2 linked regions of the Neurospora crassa OR74A genome follow. The protein of the gene in region 1 interacts with the protein of each later gene in a biochemical or structural test. Links are inferred from orthologs where the notes say so. Each region holds a gene or a part of one and is shown on either strand. Other genes may lie near its edges. The genes, in order: NCU02776 and NCU03246.

What was found.
Region 2: of the proteins of NCU02776 (region 1) and NCU03246, one has a biochemical effect on the other in vitro, tested with the Saccharomyces cerevisiae proteins (3 studies listed by BioGRID). The link is inferred for Neurospora crassa OR74A from reciprocal best matches to the Saccharomyces cerevisiae genes CDC6 and CDC14.

The regions. Positions count from the first base shown.
Region 1 is NC_026501.1:9,228,436-9,232,782, forward strand, and holds NCU02776 (cell division control protein Cdc6), read left to right. Parts: upstream 1-1,375; 5' UTR 1,376-1,522; coding exon 1,523-1,583; intron 1,584-1,646; coding exon 1,647-3,661; 3' UTR 3,662-4,052; downstream 4,053-4,347. Other genes in the region: NCU02777 (molybdenum cofactor sulfurase), read right to left, coding at 1-616, 673-754. UniProt on the Saccharomyces cerevisiae protein: Plays a crucial role in forming the pre-replicative complexes.
Region 2 is NC_026501.1:5,041,658-5,046,170, forward strand, and holds the start of NCU03246 (tyrosine-protein phosphatase CDC14), read left to right. Parts: upstream 1-1,471; 5' UTR 1,472-2,017; coding exon 2,018-2,075; intron 2,076-2,295; coding exon 2,296-2,598; intron 2,599-2,659; coding exon 2,660-4,263; 3' UTR 4,264-4,513. Other genes in the region: NCU03245 (hypothetical protein), read right to left, coding at 119-404, 618-649. UniProt on the Saccharomyces cerevisiae protein: Protein phosphatase which antagonizes mitotic cyclin-dependent kinase CDC28, the inactivation of which is essential for exit from mitosis. To access its substrates, is released from nucleolar sequestration during mitosis.

The sequences.
Region 1 (4,347 bases):
AGGACGACAAAATCGGGTGCTGTTTCGGCGTTGGACAAGTCCAAGGGGGAAGATGAAACGAGAGCGGCGGCGTCTAGGAGGGTGTAGGTCTTTCGTTTGTTGGTTGGCGATAAACTCTGCCGACAGATCTGGGAAGACCAAGAAAGGGGAAAGCGACGGCCGTCCATGTTGGATTGGGCTGGGTAGGCGAAGAGTATCGGTCGTTCTTCGTCTTCGTTGTCGTCAAAGGGACAGCTCCCAGATAACCAGTCTTCCACCTGCCGAGTGTCCAGACAAACACTACTTCTAGCCTCTTCCCGAACTCCTACCAAGCTGGTATGGCTGGATTGATGGTAGACATAGTCAAAGCCCGTGGGCAGACATCTCATGGCTTCGACAACCAGCTTGATCCCGGCTGTGGCGTTGGCGACAAAGACGAGGTCAAAGTCGGCTGGGTCGGCGTTGAAGAACTGCAGGGCTCGGAGACGGATGTCTTGGATGCGCTGGGTTGACAGTTGGGAGGAAGCTGAGGCGGAGTGGGGGTTGCCAAAGAGGTTGGTGGTCATCTCTTGGGCGAAACGGTCCATGAGGGACTTGGGATAGGGGGTGGTGCCGGCATGGTCGAGGTAGATGGAGTCTGTTTGTTTTGTGTTAGTGGTCTGGTCAAGTTGTTGAAAACGAACTTCAACTTGCCCTTCAGCATAGGATACTCTTCTTCTCTTATCTTTTCCACGTCGGCATCGTAGCCATTGTGCTGTATGTTTAACGAACCCATCTTGGAGAACAATCAAGTATCACCAAGTCCATTAAATGACAACCGGTCAACCGAGTTTGATATTTCTGTGAGATCTCTGGGCTATCGACATGGACATCTGAACAGACACTGAGGTGGATGACTTGTCATTGCCACTTGTGGTCATGATACTTGTCGATAAACACAAGCAAAGGCACCTACGGTAGTGGCGTCGGGTATTGGAGGTTTAGTTTTCTTATACGTACCGATTCGGGAGGTCCAACGGGACGGAGATCGCCACTTTCCAGCACAGCAAAGTGAAACACAGGCGGCGGTCTCCCTGCTTCAGTGGAGGGCTCCCCTGGAATGCCCCTGTGGACACTGTGAGAATAGTGCGGGGAAGTGGATACGGATCTGGAAGAGGCCCCGCTTTGACACAAGGCACGCGCCACGAAACGAACCCTCCCTAGCCACAGTCTGTGTGGCTCATGCGCAACGGGGCTTAATTGAAACGCGCAGTGCAGCGGGGAAGCCGCGTCGAGCACCGAGCTGCAGCCCCACAAATTCGCGGTCGCGTCTCCGCAATGTGGAAGTGGAATGTGCCAGGGGTGGCAGCGCGCGAACTGGAATTCTACTTTGGTGCAGTGCGACTGGGACTGAGTGCGCAAGGTTCCTCTTTCCACCTTACAACCACACAACCACGCAAGTCCATCACCACCATCAACATCCGCGCATCGTTCTTTCCACGCGATTGCCGCTTGTCATTGTGATTGTGCATTGCGACTGGTGTTTTAGACTTGACAAAAAATCATGGCCTCACCTAGCGCACCCACGACTCTGGGAAAGAGGAGAAGGAGCACCAGACTCACAGGTGAGCAGCTGCAACTGACAACGACATTCAAGAGTTGCCATCGACATACTGACAGACCACAAGACGAGGAAATCACACTAGGCCCTCTTGCCGTAAAGCGAACAAGACGCTCTCTCCGAATCCACCCAGAGATCCACCATGAGCCCGACCACATCCAAGCAGAGAAGGAGAAGGCCGCCTCACCACCCAAGCCAACTGCCGACGAGGACGTTGAGAACCACAAGGAAAACCGCAAGCCCACAGGAGACGAGGACGAGGACAGAAAGGAGGCCGAAACACCAGCCAAGTCACTTCTCAGAAGGCGCAAATCAGTCATCGCCAGCCCGCCAAAGACAGCTCCCGTCACACCTTCCACACCACGACACTACGATGTCTTTGCAAGAGTACCAGTCACCACTCCGCGCCATCGCGTCATGTCCGTTGGCAAGCTCTCCAGGCGCATGACACCAAGCACGCCCATGACACCCGCCGCTTCTCAGACAGTCTACCATCAAGCTCGCCAACTCTTTTCTCGAAGCGCCGATCCTGGAGAGCTCATTGGACGCGACGACGAGCGCGAGAAGCTCAACACTTTCCTGGATTGCTGCACCACTGCCCATCCCAGCGGCTGCCTCTACGTCAGCGGACCTCCTGGAACCGGAAAGAGCGCCATCGTCAACAAGGTCACCGACAAGTTCGCATCCGAGACATCAACAGTGCGCAAGGCTTACATCAACTGCATGAGCATCAAGTCGTCCAAGGATCTCTACGTCACCCTTCTCGACCAGCTAGTCAGCAAAGATGAAGACAAGGAGGAACTCTCAACCGAAAGCGACGTGGTGGCAGCTCTCCAAAAGCTCATCCTGCCCAGGAAAAAGACCCAGGACGTCTTCCTCGTGGTGTTGGACGAAATCGACCACATCCTCACCCTCGACCCTGAAAGTCTCTACAGCCTCTTCGAATGGTCACTCGAAAAGAAGAACTCGCGCCTCGCCCTGATCGGCATTGCCAACGCGCTCGACCTCACCGACCGTTTCCTGCCGCGCCTCAAGTCGCGCAACCTCAAGCCTGAGCTTCTGCCCATCCTTCCATACACGGCGCCTCAGGTCAAGAACATCATCATCACACGTCTCAAGAGCCTGCTTCCTGGTGGAACACCCAAGGACCCCAACTACATACCCTTCTTCCACCCAGCCGCCATCGAGCTCTGCTCGCGCAAAGTCTCCAGCCAAACCGGCGACCTGCGCCGCGCCTTCGAGATCTGCCGCCGCGCCATCGACCTGGTCGAGTCGGAGACCCGTCTGAAGCACGAAAACGAAGTCAAGGAGCAGATGCTACAAATGTCTCCCTCCAAGAAGCGCGTCCTAGGCGAAAACACCAACCTCTCCTCGGCTCCTGCGCCTTCCTCTCTCTTCCGGAGCATCTCCACTGGACCCAGCGCCAGCGTCTCGGCCTCTTTACTCAAATCTCTGCAAGCCTTGACGCCCGCCACCGCTCCGCGCGTCAGCATCGCCGACCTCAGCAAAGTCACAGCCGCAGCATTCAGCAACGGCACCACTCAGCGTCTCAAGACGCTCAACCTCCAGCAGAAAGCCGCTCTGTGCGCTCTGGTCGCCATCGAGAAACGTAACCGCGCCGCGCAGTCGGAGGCTCTTAACTCTGCTTCAGCCAGTTTTGCATCCACTACCGGCACTCCGTCGAGGAAACAAGAGGCGCCAATTGCCCCGACAGTCAAGACTCTCTTTGAAGCTTACACCAAGCTCTGCAAACAGGACTCGCTGCTTCATCCGCTTTCGTCATCTGAGTTTCGCGAGGTGGTGTCTTCCTTGGAAACTCTCAGTTTGATCACGCCAGTGGACGGCAAGACGGGATCGTTTACTGCCTTGGGGTATAGCTCGCCTGGAGTGGGGACACCGAAGCGGGGAGGCAAGAAGAAGAAGGATGTGTTTGGGATGGGAGGCGCGTTGGTGGCGGGAGATGAGAAGAGGGTGGCTAGCTGTGTGGGGGAGAGGGAGGTCGAGCAGACTTTGCTGAAGGATGATGGGGCGGGAGTGGGGATTTTGAGGGGGATCTTGAGTGGAGAGGCGTTGGATGATTGATTGATTGTGTTTGGGATAGTATTGCAAAGTTGCTGATGATTTGGACGAGTCGGGTTTCATGAGTAGGTTGTTTTGCGTTGTTGGAGAAGGAAGCATTGTTGAGAAGTACGGACGGAGCATGGCATGGCGTGTTTGAGAGAGCATTCAAAAGTATATCATAGGGAAGGTGTTTGGATTCGTTGTAACCCAGGACAAGGGTTGGTGTTTGGCGTTTGGGTATTTGTTTGGTTTTGCGTACTTGTTTGCATTGAAGACAAAAATGGGGAGCAGGGGCACAAAAGTCCTCATCATCGGCATTAGTACCTATCCATTACATAGACCTGCCGTCGTACGTACATAGACAGACACACATTGATACACACCAAAAAATGAAGACACTTTACAAAAACCACTTTTTGACATCCATCCATCCATCCATCCATCCATCCATCCATCCATCCATCCATCCATCCATCCATCCGTCCCTTCCGGTCTTATTAGATAGGTAAAGGTAGATGTGAACAGCTCAGGAACCAAAACAATAGTATGTATGGTATGCATTTGAGATGCGGGGTTTACAACCGGCCATCAACTAACTTATATACTTACCTCTTGAATTCCCCGACGGTGTGGCCGGCGGCGTTGTAAACGGCCTTCCTTTCCTGCCTTTCCCGACCCCTTAGGTTCTGTATGTTTCGTTCCCTCCC
Region 2 (4,513 bases), about 4.2 Mb from region 1:
GGCATGGCGCCATGTCTGTCGCGTCATCTTTGGCCCCAGATGAGAGTGGGCGGAGAGTGGGCGAATTGAGTCTGCTGCAGCAGGAGTGAACCCGTAAGAGTCTCGACACAAGCAGCCCTCAGATGCTGGCTTTCTCAGACTCAATGACATCCACATCCATCTCCTCCTGCACCTCCAACACCAACGCTAGGCTGTCCATAAAGGAATTCACGGCAACGCGCAGCATGCGGTTTGTGGTGGCCTTGTAGTCGACTTGCAGGACCGTCTCCCCAGCATGTTCGCTGCCAGGAGACGCAACGGTCGAAAGTTCCCGCTTCACGAGGCCGGAGAGCTCCTTGTCCACCCTCAAAGCCTGCAGGGCAACAGAAGCTAACCGAGCATCAGGGAAGGGCACTCGGAGTGTTCTTGTCGGTTGCTGTGTTAGTGTCGATTATCTTGAAAGGTATGCAGAGTTTGAGTGAAGCAAGGATGTGACGATGATCTCATGAGACGAATGGTACAAGATGAAAAATTGAAAAAAAAATCAAAAAAAAAAATTTCAAAAATTGGAAAATAAACAGAGGATCAAAACATATCAGAACAAGGAATGAAGTAACAATCAAAAACAAATGACCTACAGCGAGCAGGGGAAGTTATCGTCGGTTGCCATGGTTGCGGTCTTTAATAACCCCGAAGTAAACACTTGCAAGAAATATGTTGTCGTGAACCAAAGGGTTTCAGACTGGCACTCGCCTAACGGTTGTCAGGGGAGTTTGTGTGGTAAGCGCTACCCGATGACGAATGTCAAATTCCAACCGCCGCGAGTGTGCCTGGGCTGTGATGACCGATAACAGGCCCTTGTGGGAAACTCTGTAGGAACCTCAAACTGTATCTCACACTGGCAATTCCGCAGTGATGTTACTATCGTCTACAGTTATCGCAAGGTCGTAGGCGGCAGGCTGGCTGAACAGGGAACGAGTTTCGATATTCGGTTGTTGCCGTGTGCTGGGCGCAAAGGCATCATGGCGGCTTTACAGAAAAAGGACAAGCTCCGGCAACACCTCCCTCTCTACCTCAGCTGGAAAGTGGAGCTCTGGGGGGGGATCTCCCGTCAGAGCGAAGCGATTGGATGTTACTGGTCCAGGCGCGACTGCGGATGCCAAGAGAGAAGGTTGTCAGGACAACGGCGGGTGAGATGGAGCTTTGAACGCGCTTATTGGGCGGTGAATTGTTTTGGAAGATACCAAGCCCCCCGAATTCTTCGCTGGCCCACGCTAAACCCCGGGCGCAGGCAGAGCGGTCGGGCAAGATCAGTTGCGACTTGGAGGCGGTCTCTGCATGGAAGGTGAGGTGAAGGTCTCGCTCGTTCTCCGGTTCGCCAGGGTCCCTGCCAATGACAATACACACACGACATACAACCTTGCCAGCAAAAACACCGCTCTTGGTAAGTACCGGTAAAGGCCGTACCTGCTACAAAACCTGTTCTCCGCAACCAGCTCATACCCACCGGTCTTTTCTGACCTCCTCCTCTCGCACATCATCATCGAGTTGCCCACTCCTTTGTTTCTTCAATTCTCCTGCCTCCGGTGCCTTCGTTCTTTACAAGAATTGCATTCTCGCAGCCGGTGTCCTCTCGTCCTTCTTTGGAGGCTTTGGCCCTTGTTTTTGGCCCTTTCATCCCACCCCGCACCTGCAGTGCAGTACACAGTCCCTTGCCTCGCGGTATAGCTACCTAGCCCAGCTTGGCTGCTTGGTTTTCCCTTGTTGGCACACAATCGCTCGCGCAAACGATCTGCGATCTCGACCTCACCTTCTTCCCGTCAATCAATCCGACCATAATTTTGGCCGACCTCAAGTACAGCCCTCAAACGACAAAAGATCGAATTGGACTTTAACATCCTTCGCTCCCGCCTCCCTATACGTAGCTCATTGCATTGCACAGCATCACTATTCCCGTACGTGCGCCTGCGCATTGTCGCAACGCCAATCGCTCTCTCGACATAAACAGTCGACTTTGAGCCTCCCAGGCCACGACGCCATGGCTCCTTCCTCCAGACACTCCAGCAATCTGGGGCAAATCATCGAGTACATTCCCGGTACGTGTAGATTATTTGTGCGCCGCTCCGGTCCTCTTAATTGAAGCTACAATTTTTTTTTTGTTTTGCTTCTGGCTCCGTTGTCCGAAAACTCCATGTTTATGATCCACCCGCATCCCATGTTCACCGCTCCGCAACGGAGCTGCTCGTCCCAATATGAGCACCTTTGAATATCCTCTACAATATCAGCAATTGCCTTACAGTATACTAACCTTTACAGACCGATTGTACCTTGCATCTTACTCTGAACCTCCTACCGAGCATACCTTGTTTCCCTACCCGGATCCTGAACCACGGTCCCCGCGCAAGCGCTCTCAACGAACAATCGACCAGGTCACGGAGCGTAAGAAGCCATACTACTTCACTGTCGACGATACTCTTCTATACAATGCCTTCCACCACGATTTTGGCCCGTTCCACATCGGCCACCTTTACCGCTTCGCCCTGCAGTTCCACGAAATTCTTGGGGCCAAGGAGAACAAAGACAGGCCGGTAGTGTTCTGGAGCAGGGCCGATCCACGCAGTAGGTCATCTAAGTCCGCCTCCTCGAGAACAGCAAAGATTGCTGACCAATGTTACCTTAGGTCGTGCCAATGCCTCTTGTCTACTAGCTTGCTACATGGTTTTGATCCAATCGTGGCCTCCGCATCTAGCTCTTGCGCCGGTCGCCCAGGTTGACCCCCCTCTAATGCCGTTCAGAGACGCCGGCTACAGCCAGGCCGACTACGGCATCACGGTTCAGGACGTTGTGTACGGCGTTTGGAAGGCCAAGGAGGAAGGCTGCTGCGTGTTGGAGACATTCGACCTTGACGAGTACGAAAAGTTTGAGAGAGTTGAGCACGGCGACTTCAACTGGATTACACCCAACTTCCTGGCATTTGCCTCTCCTCAGCATACCCCGGTTGCTCCCACCCCCGAGGGGACCGAGCAGTGGTCACTTCTGCCAAAGACCCTAGCCGCCGTCGACGCACATCCTACGCTGCCGCAGCCCTTCAAAAATGTTCTCAGGCATTTCTCGGAGCGAGACATCGGCCTTGTCGTCAGGCTGAACTCGCAGCTCTACAATCCCTCATACTTTGAAGCCCTAGGAATCAACCACATCGACATGATCTTTGAGGACGGAACATGTCCTACCCTTTCGACCGTACGGAAATTCATCCGCATGGCCCATGAAACCATCTCTAGGAAGAAGGGCATTGCTGTTCATTGCAAAGCTGGCCTCGGCCGAACAGGCTGCCTCATCGGTGCCTACCTGATCTACCGACATGGATTTACAGCAAACGAGGTCATTGCCTACATGCGCTTCATGCGCCCAGGCATGGTCGTAGGGCCTCAGCAGCACTGGTTACATCTGAACCAGGGCATCTTCCGGGAGTGGTGGATTGAGGAGCGGGTTGAGCGGAGGCTGCGCAAAGAAATGGCAGCCGCTGCCGCCGCCGCCGCTCAGGCTAACGGGACAGCGCATCCCAGCACCCCTGTCCGTGCCGTGTCGAAGACGAGTCTTGGTCGTAGCTCTAGCAAAAATGGCGTGTCCACACCCTCTAACAGAGGATCAGTTCGGACACCGCTAGGCGAGATCGATCGGGAGTCGGCGCGTGACAATCATATCGGCGTACAAGAGGATTACCTCCCCGCACCTACGCCAGGACAGCCAAGGAAGACGCAGCGGGGCGCAGTAGATCGCCAGAAAGGATATGGCCGGGGACCTATTCAGACCACTGTGGAGGAAGAACCCGTTCCCATGACAGAAGTGACAACCGAGGTGATCACAGTTCACAAGAGCTCAAGAGGGCCGAGTTCAGAGGAGGAATGGAATCTTCGAAGATCTCGGCGAAGACAGTCTGCTGCTCCAACTTCACCAGGACAACCCCCCGAACGGTCTGTCACCCACCAAACCGCTACCACGAAAACGACTGTTTATCAAGTCATGGATAATGATGCATCGAACGATATCGAGAACATTGGTACTGCCGCAGCACGAATCAAGGCCCATGACCACGCTCCACGCACTAGTTCCGCGTCTGGAGTTTTGACCAAGATACGAGGCAACACTAGTGCGAAACGCCATCCACCTGGGAGCGTCAGAGAAGCTGGTGTTCGAAAGACGAGTGGACGAGTTGGGAGTATAGGGAACTCGACAACCAGTCCGGCCGCTGTATCGGCAATGCGTAAAATAAGTGGGATGTGACCCTATTCTCATGAGTCAAAAGATTATACTTGACTTGATGTGTTACAAACGAAAGCTCGGATTCATTGGCTTCATAATTCATTTGAGATACAAAAAGAAAAGGTGCGTTCAAGAGCATAGGGTTATGCCTTTGGGAGTCTTGGGTTTCTCAGTGGCAGCAAGCAAACTTGGAGCATTCAGCGAGCGAGATGCAGCATACTGTTTTAACCATCACGTTTGCATGATCAGCACTTCTTTTTTTTTTTTTTTT